Linked DNA regions of Ovis aries. The protein of the gene in region 4 interacts with the protein of the main gene of each other region in a biochemical or structural test. Links are inferred from orthologs where the notes say so. Each region holds a gene or a part of one and is shown on either strand. Other genes may lie near its edges.

Region 1 (4,100 bases), on a different chromosome or scaffold from region 4:
CACCTTCGCGTTGCACAGCCTCCAGGTACGCCCGGCACAGCCACGGCTCCAGCTGCAGGGAGGGTGCTGTCAGGCCGGGTGGGGGCTCTGTGCAGCCTCCCCCCGGCCGGGGACCTGGCCCCTCACCTTCACCAGGACCAGGCTCTTCTCCTTGGGCCTCCCCACTGATAGGTCCTGCCCGAAGCCCAGGTAGATGGTGTAGTGCGGGGAGCTGCGGCGCTGCCGGGCCCGGAACTCCACCAGTTCTGTGGAGCAGGGCTCTGGTGAGGGGGCGGGGCACGGAGGGCCCACAGCCCAAGGGCAGGGGTGTCACTGACCTTGGAAGAAGGTGCCGAAGTCAAAGATGGGCGTGTCACAGTCCCGGGGCAGCAGGCGAGCGGGGCTGGAGGCGCTGGCTGAGCCCAGGGGGCCCCCCACCTCCCAGTAGACTTTGCACTTGCCCAGGCGCCGGGCCCACAGCCGCGGCCCCCGGAGCTCCAGCTGCAGGCCGGGGCCCACGTGCTGAAGCAGCTTCTCTGTGTAGTGGAGCTGCTTCTGGTCGGGCAGCTCGGCGGGGCTGGGGAAGGCGACCTGCTGGGGCCCCAGAGCCTCTCCAGCTACGCCGGGAGGACCGTACAGGAGCACACAGCTTGGACGCCCCACCACCTCCTGCAGCACTGTCCGGCCTTTATACAGGATGGTCAAGTCCAGGGCCCCTAGGCTGGGCTCTGGCTGCAGACCAAGCTGTGAGCAGCCAGGGCCAGCCAGGGGCGGCGCCCCTGCCGTCGGCGCGCAGGCACTGGCAGAGGCTCCCACGTGCGGCTCCGCCTCTGGGAGCTGCCAGGGCTCTGGGGGTGGGCCTGCGTCTGGAAAGGAAGAGAAGCCTGAGCTGACACCTGGGCCCCCAGGTCCTCCCTTTGCCAAATGTTCCCTGGCTCCTCGGGCTGTGGCCTGAGGCTGGAGGCACCACCTCTGTGGCAAGTATAGCTCTCAAGCAGAGGGCTCTGGGCCTGCGGAGGCCCAGCTATACTGGCCCAGCTGTGACCAGCACCATCCCTGCCAAGCACCCCCTCCCCTGGGCTGCACTCTGCTGTCTTGCCTGTCCCTGCAGGGTAGAGCACTCCCCACCCCCTGCAAGAGGCCCTCACCAGGAGCCTCTGGGGAGATCAGATCCAGCAGATGATCCTCCAAGCAGCTCTGCTGTAGAGCCTGGATCAAGATGTCCCCAGCATCTCCAGCGAGGCTTGGGGGGCAGGGTTCAGGGTTCAGCCGGTGCCCCAGGCACTCACCAGTATCTGCTGCCAGGCATAGCCCCGGGAGCCCGCCCTGCAGAAGAGGACAGCGCCAGCATAAAGGAGCTGCCCCCAGGCCCAGAGAGGGAGCGGCCTCAACCCCGGACGCAGAGCGGCCTTACCCTTGCAGGTGGGGCATCTTCTAGGGCCTCGTCCTCCCCCTGGTCAAAGCCTAGGCCTTCTGGGGGAGAATTAGGGTTGGGGAAACGCTGAAGTGAGGCGCCTGGATGTCAACGCCCCCTTGCCCCCGGAAGCTGGTCTGCGCTTCCCCTTGGAGCCCCAGCGGGCTCCCTTCACTCCAGCGCTGCCACCCCCCCTAACTGGCACCAGCTTCTCCCATACCAGTTTCTAAAACCTAAAATCTGACTTAGCAGCTACTCCCAGGACACAGCACAGTCCCCCTGCCGGCAGCACCCCAAACCCCGGCCTTCCTCACCTCGGCACCCCGGCTCAGAGCTGATCTTGTACACCTTATGAGGGTCTGTAGGGTCCCCCGAGTTGTCTTCCAACATCACGAAGCGCTGCGTGCTGTGCAGAGCGCAGCGGAAGTTGGTTTTCCAGGAGGCCCGCAGCGCACTCTCAGGGATCGGCCGGGCACCTCCACCGCTGCGGGGCGGCCACCTGCCTCGGGCCACGGCCCAGGCCTGAGAAAGACAGAGTGTAGAGCACGTGGCCTGGACTTGCGAACCTGGGCCGGCCCTCCCCAGCCCGGGCAGAACTGGGGTCTCACCTTAAAAATGCGCGAATCGGCTTCACCCAGGTCCTTCCGCGCGAAATGCTTCCAGGGTACGCGGAAGCGCGTTCGGGCCGCGTCCAGCCACCGTAGCCCCTCATAGCGGCCGCTGCTGACCTCGCCCAGAAGCCAGTCTCCGAAGAGCACGCGCGGGGTTCCCCTGCGGGCGGAGCAGCCAGGTGTCAGGGCGCAAGGGGGCCGCCGGGGGCGTGGGGCCCGCACCGGGCAGGGAGGCGGGCTCACCGGTCTGGAGCCTCGGCCATTGGTCCCTCCGCAAAGGCTGGGCCTGGAGACAGTGGCACGCCCTCCGCGCAGAGGGCTGGGGTCTCGGGGCGGTCGGGGGTTGGCGCAGGAGAGGAAGGTTGTCTGTGAGTCTCCACAGCTAGTCCCGGGTGTTGGGGGGTCACAGATGCGGGCTTCCAGTCACGGCGTTGCGGAGGTGAGTCCTGGCCAAGACGGCGCTGGATGTGGCTACAGACGCGGCCGGTGCGCGCACGACGCGTCACAGGTTTTGAGCCGGCGTCCGGGCTGGGCCCTACGGGGGCGCGACGGGAACGGCCGCAGGAAAACGAAACCCGGCGTTGCGGAAAAACGAAACCTAACCCGCCACGCCCCGCGCGTCACCGCCACCTCCCCGTCCAGGTCCCCGAGTTCCAGACCCGGGCCCCGCGCCGTCATCCGTGCAGCCCGCCCCGCCTGGTCACTGCTCTGCGAAGCGCGTCCCGGACCCGCGCCTTCCGCCGAGCTCCCTGGTCACTGCTCCGAGAATCGACCCCGGAGTCCGACGAGGCCTCACACTCGTGTTCTTCCCGGGTTGGGCCTCCCCAGTACCTGGCGCAGGTTCGGGCCGCGTCCAGCCTCAGGACGCGGAGTCACTCGTGGGGAGATTGATCCCCTGGGGCTCGCGAGCAACCGCTTTTATGGTGGCGGGGGCGGGGCGGGGCCGGGGGCGGGGCCGGGCCGGGGCGGAGCTCCAGGTGCCGGGGAGGGAGTCACGTGCGCCTGGAGCGGAGCCGAGCGCAGGTGCGCAGGACCCGCTCTTGGGCCGCGGCGGGAGGCGGCACCGGGGTCCTGGCAACCCTGGACCCAGCCCCGATGCGGCCCAGCCGCTCCCCTCGCTCACCCAGCGCAGCGGGGCCTGGGGCCAGCAACCAGCGTCCCGGGAGAGGCCGTGGGATAAGCCGAGGGTTCCAGAAACAAAACCTGGCGCATCGCGGAGCGGAAGAGCGGGCGATGGGTGCGTGGGAGGGGCTGCGGCCGCGCTCTTTGGATTCTTAACCAGTGACAGTTCCTCAGGCAATAATATTCAAATACTGTCGAGATTAAAATACTTGGGAAGGGATGGGAAAACACCGGCGACCCGGGAAGAACGGTAGTGGTGCTGGGGGGTCGGAAGTCTTGCCTGAGGGCCGCCCCGAGGAAGCCAGTGGAGGGGGTTCGGGCCCCAGCTTCGTGACTCTGGGTTCCGTCCGTCCATAGCCTCTGTTCCGCGCACCCACCAGCCCCACGTGCCGCACTAGGCTCGTGGCCACCGTCGTTCTGGGCCACACCCCCCGCCGCCAATCAGTCCAGCCACCTGGACCGGGTGCCTCCGCGAGAGCCCCAGAGCGCTTACTGCCCTCCCTGCGGCCCACAGGGGCAGCAGTGTGACCCTCGGGGCGGTCCCGGGGCCCACGCCCTCCCACACGAGTCCCGGAGGGGGGCTTCTGGCCAAGTGGCTCCTCAGCTTCCCCCAGACGAAGAATCTCCATGTCGAGGCGGCCGCGGTCAGACCAGGAGAGGAACTGCCTGGCCACCAGCTGGCACCAACCCTGGGAAGCCCCTCGCGCAGCAGGTGGTTTCCGGGAAACGGCGCCGAGAGCTCAAAGCAGTGCCCAGACCGCCCGCCCCTCGCGGCTCCCACAGCTCCCCTGGCGGCCAGCAGACGTCCCCACAGAACCGAAAATGTTATTTTATTCTGCGCCGTGGAGTGTGGGGACAGCCACCAAGCCGACTCTCGGGGTCCCGACTCCGGGGGACGCGGCATTAGAAGTGGATGGAGTCGGTACCAAGCGCGTCCTGGGCATCCGCAGCCTCGTCGCCGCTGCCCTCGCTGC
Region 2 (4,421 bases), on a different chromosome or scaffold from region 4:
GTAGGTGTGTACCAAACCATCTGGTAAACTTTTCTACTAAGGTATTTATTGCAGTTTGTTTATTTACCTGGCTCTTCCTCTGCACAATAAGCACTTTGAAAATAATAAATATTTCTTTTATGCTCCTGTATCTCTATTTCTGGGAACTGAAGAAGTACCTGAGACATACTATACTCAATAACTGTTTTTTGAATATTAATCATGGGGTCTGCAAACACAAGGATCCTTGACCTTGAAACTCTCTACCTGAAAACCGCAGCTTTTCCTGTGTTTCTGATTTCTAAACGCTAGTCCTTTTCTTCCAGAGTATGGGGTTCTAGGTAGGCAGAGAAGGAAAACAAAAGATCTTGGGATAGGTTGCCTTTAGTTCTCTGGAATCCAGTAACATGTCCTGCCTTGCACCACCCTCGTCCACCATCTCTTCACACCTGGCTGTCCCACATGGGCGTAGACTTAGCTGACCAGCCCCAAAGCATACTCAGACCTTGGTTCAGACTTCTCTTATTGCCAACTGAAAGTTGGTCAATGTACGTACAGCAAACAATTTTCAACTTTCCACTTATCTTTTGAACTTCTACTTTATAAAATTTGTATTTCTTGAAAATCGTAGGCCTTAAAATTTAAGAAATTTTTTAACATGGATGAAGTAAGATACAGTGATCTTAACCTTGAGCTTTACCTTTGCTGGCCTTAAAGTTGGATGTGACTGCGTGAAGAAATGATGGGAATCTGACAGTGGTGATGCTCCTAACCCTTTTATAACGTAATTAATTAAGATATCGGAAGCAACTGGTGGCTCAGATGGTAAAGAATCTGCAATGCAGAAGCCTTGGGTTCCACCTCCGGGTCAGGAAGATCCCCTGGAGAAGGGACAGGCTACCCAATCCAGTATTCTTGCCTGGAGAATCCCAAGGAGCCTGAAGGGGGCTACAGTCCTTGGGGTCACAAAGAATCCGACATGACTGAACAACTAACACCTTTCTACAAGTCTTAGGTTAAACAACAAACAAACAAAGAACCTTAAATTTAAGGCAGAGAGGATACATTTGCGGGAAGGGAGGGAAATGGGTATTTGTGATCCTGAATTTATGGGATAAAATTAAGCAGCAGGGAAGACCGAGATATGGTGAGGAAGTCAGATTTCACTGGGCAGTTGGCGTGATGAGTCTAGAAGCTGGGGGTGGAGCGAAGTTAAAGGACTAGCCAAAAGTGGGATCCTTAACAGTACCATAACACAAGGAGGGCCTTGTTCAGTCAGCAGCCTCGCTTAACACGTTCCCTTCCTTAGTGTGTCGGTGACCATAGTAACAGTAGGGCCGAGCCTCCCTCCCGAGCATGCGCACTGCAGAGCGAACGCAGACGCGTCCTCAACAACAATGTACAGCTTTTTTCTTGAGGAGAACTACAACTCCCAAGAGACCGCTCGGCGCCGCCGCACCGCCTCCCTCTGTGGCCCTGCCCTGTCCCCTCCCTCCAGTCCCGCCCCCCCGCTAGTCCCCTCCCCTCCCTCCGAGCGTGGGTCAGAGACCCAGAGGCGGTGGAACCGTCGGGGGGCGCCGCCGCCGCCGCCGCCTCCAGCAGCAGCAGCAGCCTCGCCGCGCGTTCGGATTTGCCTCGAGCCCTCCTGGAGCGCATCACAAGGCGGATCCCGCGGCTCTTCCTCCGCCCGCGGCTTCTCCAGCGTTCGGCTCCGCGGCCAACTTCCCCTCGTTGGGCTCGGCCGGCTGGCGAACAAGGCGGCGGCGGAACGCCGGGCTGTCTGCTCGCGCTGCCCGCGCACGCACACTTCTCCCCCCTCGCTCCGTGTCTCGGGGCCGTGCTGGGAATTCCGGCCACCAGCAATTGTCCGGTGAGTGTGGCCGCAGGAGGGGTCGCGGCGGGGCCGCCGAGGGGTGCGGGCCAGGCAGGCGCGCAACTTCCTCAGCGGCTTACCGGGGCGGCCGGCCGGCCGGCTCTCCCCGCCCGCCTGCGCGCCCCCGCGCCGGAGGCGGCCGGGAGCGGAGTTTGCGGCGCCGGCATCCCGCGCCCTCGCAGGAGGAAGCGCCTTTGTCAGGAGCCTGCCCGGCGCGCCCTCCCCCTCTGCCTGGGAGCGGGCGCGAGGGTGGCCAAGTCCGAGCCCCGCGCCCGGGGTAGGGTCGCCAGCTGCCGGAGGGGAGCTCCGCGGGGGCTGGGAGCGAGACCGAAACCAAAGGGAAACAAAAGGGGTGGTGGGCTTTTCTTTTGTTTGTGCGAAACTGATAACTTCTTTTTCCTTTCCTTACATAACACAGACTTCCAAGTTAGTCATTCTTTTTATTATGATTATTGTCATCATCTCTGCGTGTCCCTCGCGTTTCCTTTCATCTCTGGATCACAGAGCACTTAAAAACATTAATTAATTACACCTCCGGGGCCCCGACGAAACAAGTTAATAAGCCCGTTTCTGTAAGTGGGTAAACTGAGGTTCAGAAGAGCTTGCTCCTCCACCGCACCTGGTGTCTGAAGACCTGAAAGCATTTATGAGTAAGAACTCGTTCTCCAGTGCCCCGTGGAAAAGTTAAAGATGTTCCTTTTACGTATAGGCTAACTAAAGTCTAAAAGAGGTCGGGGTACTTGTTAGGTAGTTCAAACCATAACTCTTCTTACATAGTGTTTGAATTTTAAAACCTCAAAAGTCTCTTGAAAAATGCCCGGAGTGGGGAAAATACTGTGATCATAAACTCACCCATCTAGTTTTGGTTTTTGTACATGTAGGTTTCTTACAAGGCAGACTAGCAGGGATGGGGGATGGGGGTGGGAGGACAGACTTTTTAACGTAGGCTTCACAGATTTTAATCACTGCACACAAGGAAATGTGTCTTGGTTTTAATAGCACCAACAGCTTTCCCATCGTTTAGTCATCAGATAATTGAGTGAGCGCTTTATCCATAAGGTGCTGGTTGTGCCAAGAACTGAAGCTTTAAATATACGAAAAGGTCATCTATTTGTTTTGGTTCAAAGACGGTGTACTTCTCTTAGTCTGCAGAATGTTATTTTTTCACAGCAGCTGATCTTTTGTTTAAGAACTGGCTTTGTCTTTTTCTACATTGTGTATGTGTTACCTTAATTGAGCAGAAAGATTAGAGTGTTTTTGTTGTTATTTACTTTTCATAGTAGTGTGAATTTAAATTTTTGAATTGTGGAGAAGGTTCAGTTTCTCCAGTTCTGGTTTCAGTTTATGGCGTTTTCTTTGTAACTAACAAAGAGAAAATGTTTTCTCAGAGTGATCAGATTTATATCTTTCAAAACATTGTCCGTCTTGTACAAATACAGCATATAAATCCCTTATGTTTTTTACTCGCACCAACAACCTCTTGTGGAGGAAGATAATTCTGAAGACAAGTTTATTTTGGTAGTTGACCCAAACTAGAAGGTAGTGCAAATTTAAATCAAGCATCATTTCTACTAGTTATTTCCTGAGGTGAATAATGATCAGAACTGTAATAACAAGACTTTTTCTTATCTGCAATTCTCTTGAATTTAATTTTGTATTTTATAGTTGCCCCTAGATTTTAGATTCTGGTGATTCCATCAGAAAAGGGAAAGATGTTCTTATTTTGATATTTCCCCCCAGTCTTCTAACCTGTTCTCTTTCTGTTCTCTTTCTGTAGTATCTTGAAAGAGATCTTGGCTTTAAAACAGACAGTTGGAAAATAGAACAGTTAAGTGTATGGAAAGATGCATGTAGTGAAGTGCTTATAATGCTAAATCTAATAAATTTAAGACTTTTAAAGAGAAAACTGTCACCTGGATTTTTATTAATAATACAGAAGTGCTGTCATATAATAATAGTGGTATTTATTGACTTTAAAAAAGAAAAAGAGATCCTGGGAATTGTCTCTTTGTGGAAGATTTGGGGGCAGGGAGAAATCTGTGCTCTCAATATCTTCATTGAAGTGCCCTTACAGTTGGTTAAGTTGAACTTTCTCTGCAGCGTTTACAAACCAGATTTACCAAAGGCATTTATTTGCTTTAAGAAAGCTACTAACACAATGTCTGCTCAGTCACTGGAGTCCAAAGGCAGCAGTTAGTGTTGACCGTCAAAAGGCTGGCATTGCAGGTTTTCCTAGTTTCTTTGGAACCCCTTAAAGGAAATGACTGAAAAGTACAGGGAAGGGAACTGAGTCTAGTATGCTAAATGCTGCTGAGCCAAGTTTCAAGGGGAAGCCTAAATATGCTTCCATCTGTCTTTGTTTCACCTTCCTTTCAGGTTGTCAAAATATCACTTCTATATGAAGAGTTCTGTGAATTCAGAATATGCCTTATTGTGGTTGTCCAGTAGGTCAGATGATAAGGACTGTAGTAGTCATGCTCTGTGAAGAACTGTTTTCAGACAGAAGCTTCTGTAGCTAAGAAGAGATTTTAATCTGGAAGACTTTGAACACTAACATTCTCACATAATA
Region 3 (4,191 bases), on a different chromosome or scaffold from region 4:
TCAATAATAAGTGATCAGAGAAAATATAGTGATGATTATTGCAAGGCAGAAGTTATTCTTATGTCACATTTTAAAAAAAGAAATGTGCAGAGTTTTATTTAAGCTCAATTTCAAAACAGCAGTGAAAGGCAACTGAAGGAGAGGAAGTGGAAATAAGAGGTCTGAGAACACAGCCAAGCTTTTCATGGTGACAGTCATGTTACTAAGCATAGTATCCTTAATATGCTTATAATCTTCCTAAAATACATTATTCACTCCCATGCTTTCTTCAGTAAAGTATTGTAGATAACCATTTACCTAGATCAAAAGTGGTTGTCCGTTTTTGGGCAACCCAACACCATCATTATGAACAAAAGCCTGTGACACCTTCTAGACCTAATAGGTTATACAGGACTGCCCTTCTCAAACTGGGATGTTTGCTAATATGCCATAAATTAAACACAATATATTAATACCATCCTCAAAAATCAATTTAACTTAATGGTAAGTAATTTGAAACATTTTGGATATATTTTTTAAAAACCAAAATATTATTCATTCATGAATATTTACTGAGACTCTATTTTGTGCTGGATATTGATCCAGGTCCCTGGAGATAAAGCATTAGGAAAATAAGAAAAAAAAATTAACTGAATTCATGGAGTGAGTGAAGTCACTCAGTTGTGTCCGACTCTTTGTGACCCATGGACTGTAGGAGCCTATCATGCTCCTCTGTCCATGGGATTTTCCAGGCAAGAGTGCTTATATTCTAACAGATGAAGATGGGTAGTAAGCATTTACTCTACAGTACACTGTGCTGTGTTAAGTTGCTACAGTCATGTCCGACTCTTTTGTGACCCTATGGACTGTAGCCCACCAGGCTCCTCTGTCCATGGGATATTCCAGGCAAGGATACTGGAGTGGATTGCCACTTCCTTCTCCAGGGGATCTTCCCAACTCAGGGACGGAACCCTAGTCTCTTATGTCTCCTGCATTTAACAGGTGGGTCCTTTACCACTCGTACCACTGGGAAGTCTTTATATGATGCCAAATGAAAAGGAAAAAAAAATAACTGAGAAGGGGTTTTAATTTTAAATAGAATACTCAGAGTTGGCCTCAATAAGGTGCCATGGGATTAAAGGTTTAAGGGAATGAGAAAGCTAGCCACTGGGATATCTGTGGTAAGTTTCCGGGCAAAAGGAATAGAGAATATAAGGGTCTGGAATGGGCTCACTGAGGAACCACAAGAAAACAGTAAGACTGGAGAAGAGGGAGCAGGAAAGCAGAGTAGAAGGGAGCAGTAACGGGGCCAGGTCCCCTAAGGTCCTACTTCATTTTCATCTTCTGAGGGAGATGAGAAGACAGGGGAGATTTTGAGAAGAGGACAGATGTGCTCTATACTTAAAAGGACATCGGGGACTGCTGTGGAAAATAATTGTTGTTTAATCTCTGTTTAAATTATTGTTGAATAAAGTATATTAAAATGAGGGCAGAAAAGCAGGAAGAGATTAATTAAGTACATCAATAATCCAGGTGGGAGGTGCTTGTGGCTTACATCAGAGTGGTAGTAAAGAAGGTAGAATTCCTAAGATGATGGATATTTTCTGAGGTAGAAACCTCAGAAATCACACAGAATCCTGTATGCTGCTATGAAGAGTGACAAGTTGGCACCAAGGTTTCTGGCTTGAACAAGCTTCCTGACCTTTACAATAAGATGGAGAAGACTGTGAAAGGGCCCTGACCGTCTGTACCCAAGAGGAGCGCGATGTATGTTAGTATCGCGCCTTGAGTTAGGCGGGGATGGGGGTGGAGAAGACGCCCGTGGTTCCGGCCCTCTCCGCCCCCTTCCTGACCTTTACAATAAGATGGAGAAGACTGTGAAAGGAGCATGTTTAGCCTGGAAGTTCAGGATTTCTGTTTGCACAGGGGTAAGCAAACGTCAAATGAACGTTTAGCACGCAAACAAAAGTAAAAAGAAATCTTAACTTTCTGACAGGTCTCGTCAAGGATTACCCTCAGAAAGGGAAAAGGCAAATCTGAATATCCTCTGCTCTCAGCTCTTAAGGCAGAGACGTTTTTGAGGCACTTGTTCAGTTGCTAAGTCCCGTCCTACTCTTTGCGACCCCAAATAGCCCCCCAGGCTCCTCTATCCTCCACTATCTCTGGGAATTTGCTCAAATTCATGTCCAGTGAGTCGGTGATGCTATCCAATCATCTGTTCCTCTGCCACCCCTTCTTTTGCCTTCAATCTTCCCCAGCATCCCATCCTAAATGGCTAAAATGCTTTCTGAGGTTGCTTTTCATCCCTTGGCTCCCTCTCGTTTCCAGGCTGTCGGTACCCTTTCCCCATCTGATAACGTACTGACAATGCCGCTCCACTTTCTAATTTCCTGGAAGCCTGAGAAACTAGCTAATTAGAATTTTGGGGGGGGGGGTTTAGAATGCTTTCCACGCGGTCAGCATCTTTGTTGGGTGCTGGTCCTACTTCCTGGTTCTGAGGAAAAGAGATTTCATTTCGTAAACAGGGTTCTCGGAACACATAGCTCGGGAGTTGAGAAACTCGAGGCGGGGTCCGACCACCGAGTGACGCTTCTCTTCGCCCCACGGTCCTCCAATGGAGGACCCACCAATTTTCCAATCCCTAGGGACCCACCCAAATCTTTACCCTGGAGCAGGCGCTGCCCACGCAACCTACTTCCCCTCTAACTTTTCTCACGTGCGCTGAAGGGATTTTCCTTCCGAGCAGTCCCTCCACAACCCTGAGGCCAGGGCGCAGACCTCGGACACTTCGCGGAGAAGGTGGCGCGCAAGTCCGGAACCCCTTACCTGCCCGGGCGCGGGGCGCAGGGGCGCACGGGGCGCCGCAGGGCTGAGCCAGCGACCTCAGGACCCAGGCACTACGAAGGGCCGGGGCGTGCCCAATCCGTCAGGTCCCGCCCCCGCCCCTCTCCGCCCCCTTCCTCTTTGCGCTTCCCCCTCGCCGCTTCACTGAGTCAAAAATTCCAGAGAGGCGTTTCTTTAAGTAGGAGCCTGTCCCTTTAAATACTCTTCTGTCGGAGCCTAGCTAGTTTATGGCTTCCGGGCATGCGCACGGCGAGGTGCGGAGGAAACCCTTCAGCTGGACTTGAGGTAGACTGGGCTGAGCTTCTTGGCGCCACGTGGGCTTGTGCAGGGGGCGATGACAGTATCGGCATTGAGACCCTGACGCTCTGTCCCCAAGAGGAGCGCGATGTGAGCTAGTATCGCGCCTTGAGTTAGGCGGGGATGTGGGTGGAGAAGACGCCGGTGGAGCCAATGGCTGTGTCGGGGGTGCTTTGGAAAGCGCCTGAAGTCTAAGCTGCAGGAGTCAGTCCTGCTGGTTGGTGGCAGAAGTAGGAAGTAAGAGTGAATTAGGTGGAGCGTTGGCGGTGGAAGGAACAGGAGGAGCTACTGTCCTTTTTTAACATCCTGCTAGACTCTGCCCTTAGCCACAACCCAAATTCCCAAGCCTTGGGTCAGCCAAACTGCCCTCTCCATGTCCGCCCGGCAGGCTTATCGACACATCTGTGGCATGGAAACTCGACTCTGTGTGGGTTCCTTGGCTGCCCTTCAGCACGGTTCCACTCTTACTAGGATGCTTGGCCGTAATTCCCTCATCGTTGTATTCTCAAATTGTTCTCCTATGCCACTAGCTTAGAATGTTTTCCTATCTTGTTCCTACAGCTGAGCTCTTGATCACATCTTGTTGCTTTTGATCTTCTCTAACTGTTCAACAGATTCATCCTGCCTAGTACTATCAGTCATCTTACTAAAACATCTTTTAGGATTGTGTTATTTTCCTGCTCAGACACCTCCAGTGGCCATCGATTAACCACTCAATGGATTCTAAGCCCCTGACAGGGCATTAAGTGTTTTACCTAGTTTGGCACTAATCCGGCCATATTTTCCAGAACTGTGCTAGAAAACACTTTCTCCTACTGCTCTGTATCTGGGCTGTTCAGTTTTTTCTTAACACGTTGCATAGTTTGTTTATGCCTTTGCCTCATTTCTGTCTCCTGAAGTGTTTTGAAAATGTGGCCACTTCTTGCATTATGCTTGACTGATTATTCTAGGCAAAAGTGACCCCTGTCTTTCTTCCTCTTCACTCTTACTGCTCTTATTTTGTACTAGTCATTGTATTTATTCAATAATCAGTATTGATTGTGCATCTGCTATGTGCTTGATTCTATTCTA
Region 4 (3,650 bases):
TACAGGGGCCAACCCCGGCCAGAGCAGTAGTGTGGCCCGGACTCGGACGGTGCGTGGCACCCTGGCCTACCTGCCTGAGGAGTACGTGAAGACCGGGAGGCTGGCTGTGGACACCGACACCTTCAGCTTTGGCGTGGTGAGCTGCGGGGCCCTCGACTGGCCTGGGGGTGGGGGGCTGCAGCCCTCGGAGAATCCTCCAGCAGGCCTGACCAGCTTCAGATCCCAGGACCCGTCTTCCCCAGCTCGGGCGCCCTGCGCGGCTCCACACCTTCATGTCTGTCGTTTTCCATTCCTCTCCTCCACGTGGGCCCTCCAGACCCCCTGAGCTTGAGTCCCACGTGCAGTTTCTCAGCGGCCCCAGTCTGCAGCCTGCTCTCTCTGCAGGTGCTGCTGGAGACCTTGGCCGGCCAGAGGGCCGTGAGGATGCATGGCACCCAGCCCAAGTATCTGGTGAGCCTCCTCCCGAGGCAGGTGGGGAGAGAGAGAGGGAGGGAGGAACAATCCGGAACGTGGGGCTGCCAGCCCAGCCTCTGCTGACTCATTGTTGAGAGTAGGCAGGGCCCCAGACAGTTGCATCTGCCTGGCTGGGGACAAACCTCTCTGTCCCCGGCAAGTACCACAGGCCCTTCCAGACCCCACCTAGGTTTGGCGAGGTTGGGGGGGTGGTCAGGGTGGGGGGTTGCAGCCCGATCACAGTGGAAAACAGAATCAGGGGACCTGGGAGAAGCAATGGATGGGAATCGGACCACGTCCCCCCTCACCCCAGATGCCTTCTCTGGGTTTTACGGGGCAGGTCTATTCCTCCGCAGACTGACCCAGAGCCCAAAATCCAGCTCCTCTCTGCTTAGTCAGCAGGATCCTTCACACTGTATAAGCCGGTGTGTTGCCCGGGCTCGGGGCTGTTTCCATCCATTCCCGGGTCTCGAAGGGATCTCTGCCAGAGCCGGGCACCAAATAGATCTGCACTCGGGCCCATCGTCAACACCGCAGTGGCGCAGCATGCCAGACCCCACAGGGTGCCTGCCACGGCTTCTCTGGGCAACCACCAAAAAGCTCTTTTAGAACTGTGAGGAGGTGGTGGAACCCCTTTACCCCCGCCATGCTTGGGATGAAGGCCCAGACCCTTGACGTGGTTGCCAGCTTGCTGTCTGTCCTCCAGACCTGGCGGCTCCCTGTTCCTCTGCCTGAAAGGCCACGCCCCGCACCCCCCCCCTGACCCCAGGGTCTGCTCCTGGTCCTTCCTGTCTGGTCCTGTCCCTCCCCATCTCCGTGGGGCTCTCCCCTCTGAGCCCTGCCCTCTCTGGCTAGTTGCTGTCTTTTGATCAGAGCCCGAGTGTCACTTGCTTGGGCCCCCCCATCAAAACCCCTGGGGAGGCCTCCCTGCTGTGGTTTCCCCTGGTTTTCGAAGCATATCGACGTCTCTCCCCTCTCAGGAAGTCAGCTCTGTGAAAGCCAGCCCAGGTGCTGGGCGTGTGGCTGGATCCCGGGGGCCCAAGTCAGCGCTGAGCATATGCAGATGAGGGCCGGGGATGGCAGCGCAAGGCACGGCCCACGGGGGCCAGACTCACGTTGCATGTCCCACAGAAAGACTTGGTTGAAGAGGAGGCAGAGGAGGCCGGGGTGACCCTGAAGGGCACCCAGACCGCAGTCCAAGGTGGGCCAGCCGCAGACACGTGGGCCGCCCCAGTTGCCGCCCAGATCTACAAGAAGCACCTGGACCCCAGGCCAGGGCCATGCCCACCAGAACTGGGCCTGGCCCTGGGCCAGCTGGCTTGCTGCTGCCTGCACCGCCGGGCCAAGAGGAGACCCCCGATGACCCAGGTAGTCCTGTGAGCTGGGGGTATGGGAAGTGCTTGAGATGCCAGTCTCCACATGTTGCTCAACTGCCCTTTGGTTTGGCTTGAACCCCCGCTGAACCCAGCCAGGTACAGAGAGGGAGGCGATCGGCTTTTTACTGCGCCCCCTTCTGGGTGCCTTGCGCCACTGCATCTGCCTTTTTTGTGTCCCTTCCACCTCTTTGTCTCTCTTTTATTTATTTATTTTAATTGGAGGCTAATTACTTTACAATATTGTGGTGGTTTTTGCCATACATTCAACATGAATCAGCTGTGGGTGTACTTGTGTTCCCCATCCTGAACAACTCCCCCCACCACGTCCCTCCCCATCCTATCCCTCATTTGTCTCTCTTGAGAAAAGAAAGAAGCATCATTGAGGGCATCAAGGCAACAAGGTTTGCTTTCTCAAAGACAAAGAGAAGCTGTTCTCAGTCCTTAGCTTTAGTGACAACGATTCTCTTCTCTGGCCCTGACCTGGAGCTGCCCTGCAGTTCCACCACCCTCTGTGAGGACCTGGACAGGGCCACTCACCCTGAGAGCCCCGGTCCCTCCCTGCAGGTGTACCAGACACTGGAGGAGCTGCAGGTGGTGGTGGCAGGGCCATGCCTGGAGCCAGAGGCTGCCAGCCACAGCCCCCCTTCCCCGCAAGAGAACTCCTACGTGTCCACCAGCGGGAGCGCCCTGAGCCGTGCCAGCCCCTGGCAGCCCCTGGCGGTGCCCTCGGGGGCCAAGGCCCAGGCTACAGACTGGCCGCACAAAGGTGCCAACCAGCCCGTGGAGAGTGACGAGAGCATGTCTGACCTCTCTGCTGCCCTGCACTCCTGGCATCTGAGCCCCAGCTGCCCTGCGGGCCCAGGGGCCCCCAGCTGGGTGCCAGCACCCCTCGGGCAGGCTGCCTGCACCCAGGGGGGTGCCGCCCGAGAGTCGAGCTGGGGGAGCGGCCCGGGTCTCCAGCCTACAGCTGTGGAAGGTACCAGCAGGGGAACCAAAGGCCTCCTTTCCGGGCAAACCCCATCCTCCCGACCCCAGCCTTCTGGGAGGAGAGACCCAGGACCCGCCATGAAGCTCCATCTGTCCTTAGCAAGTTGCAGGCTGCCGTCTTGGGTTGGGCTGCTCGCCTGACCCCAGGAAGGTCCAAAGAAGGACCATCCCGGGCCATCTTGTCTCACTGGGCCATGCCCCCAGCTGGCTGAGGATAGGCCAGGAGTAAGGCAGGCCCAGTCCATGACTAGGCTCCAGGCCTTGCCCACAGACAGAGCGCTCAGGACCTCTGTCCTTTGAGAGGGCAGGGAGGGAACTAGGCTGGGGATGGGGAAGGCTCGCGAGGCCAGCAATGAGTGTCAGCAGGGAGTTCCCAGAGGCTCAGGGGGTCCTCTCTCCACCCCAGGACCCCTCCTGGGCAGCTCCACATCCTCGCAGCCCCCGCAGATCGTGATCAATCCGGCGCGACGGAAGATGCTGCAGAAGCTGGCATTGTATGAGGACGGTGTCCTAGACAGCCTGCAGCTGCTCTCGTCCAGCTCTCTCCCAGGTACCCTCCAAGAACAGTGGCCTTTGAGAAGTCATGTGCCCTGGGCACAGCCCGGTCCTGTCCTGTCCCACCTCCCTGTCCTGCCAATACTCCCCCTCCCCGTAGTCCAGGATTGCCCGTGCCCGTACTTCCAAAACATACGAAGCCCCTGCTGGGCAGGTTCCATTCAAAGAAATGCTGCTGAAGAATGGAAACCACTAAGTCCAGAGAGCGCCCCAGGAGCAAGGACTAGGGCAGCCCCACTGTCGGCTAACCGACTGGCATTTCCTACCCACTGTGCAGAC

The links.
Region 1: the proteins of IRAK1 (region 4) and IRF7 form a complex in vitro, tested with the Homo sapiens proteins (2 studies listed by BioGRID, with this or other methods). The link is inferred for Ovis aries from reciprocal best matches to the Homo sapiens genes IRAK1 and IRF7.
Region 2: of the proteins of IRAK1 (region 4) and PELI1, one has a biochemical effect on the other in vitro, tested with the Homo sapiens proteins (5 studies listed by BioGRID and IntAct, with this or other methods). The link is inferred for Ovis aries from reciprocal best matches to the Homo sapiens genes IRAK1 and PELI1.
Region 3: of the proteins of IRAK1 (region 4) and IRAK4, one has a biochemical effect on the other in vitro, tested with the Homo sapiens proteins (2 studies listed by BioGRID). The link is inferred for Ovis aries from reciprocal best matches to the Homo sapiens genes IRAK1 and IRAK4.

The regions. Positions count from the first base shown.
Region 1 is NC_056074.1:47,073,573-47,077,672, reverse strand, and holds the start of IRF7 (interferon regulatory factor 7), read right to left. Parts: upstream 2,900-4,100; 5' UTR 2,836-2,899; intron 2,540-2,835; 5' UTR 2,268-2,539; coding exon 2,248-2,267; intron 2,165-2,247; coding exon 2,002-2,164; intron 1,916-2,001; coding exon 1,708-1,915; intron 1,453-1,707; coding exon 1,394-1,452; intron 1,306-1,393; coding exon 1,128-1,305; intron 846-1,127; coding exon 318-845; intron 246-317; coding exon 127-245; intron 53-126; coding exon 1-52. Other genes in the region: CDHR5 (cadherin-related family member 5), read right to left, coding at 4,030-4,100.
Region 2 is NC_056056.1:44,146,938-44,151,358, forward strand, and holds the start of PELI1 (E3 ubiquitin-protein ligase pellino homolog 1), read left to right. Parts: upstream 1-1,522; 5' UTR 1,523-1,849; intron 1,850-4,421. UniProt on the Homo sapiens protein: E3 ubiquitin ligase catalyzing the covalent attachment of ubiquitin moieties onto substrate proteins. Involved in the TLR and IL-1 signaling pathways via interaction with the complex containing IRAK kinases and TRAF6.
Region 3 is NC_056056.1:142,992,363-142,996,553, forward strand, and holds the start of IRAK4 (interleukin-1 receptor-associated kinase 4), read right to left. Parts: upstream 2,900-4,191; 5' UTR 2,696-2,899; intron 1-2,695.
Region 4 is NC_056080.1:80,283,060-80,286,709, forward strand, and holds part of IRAK1 (interleukin-1 receptor-associated kinase 1), read left to right. Parts: coding exon 1-136; intron 137-384; coding exon 385-450; intron 451-1,584; coding exon 1,585-1,821; intron 1,822-2,393; coding exon 2,394-2,805; intron 2,806-3,222; coding exon 3,223-3,366; intron 3,367-3,648; coding exon 3,649-3,650.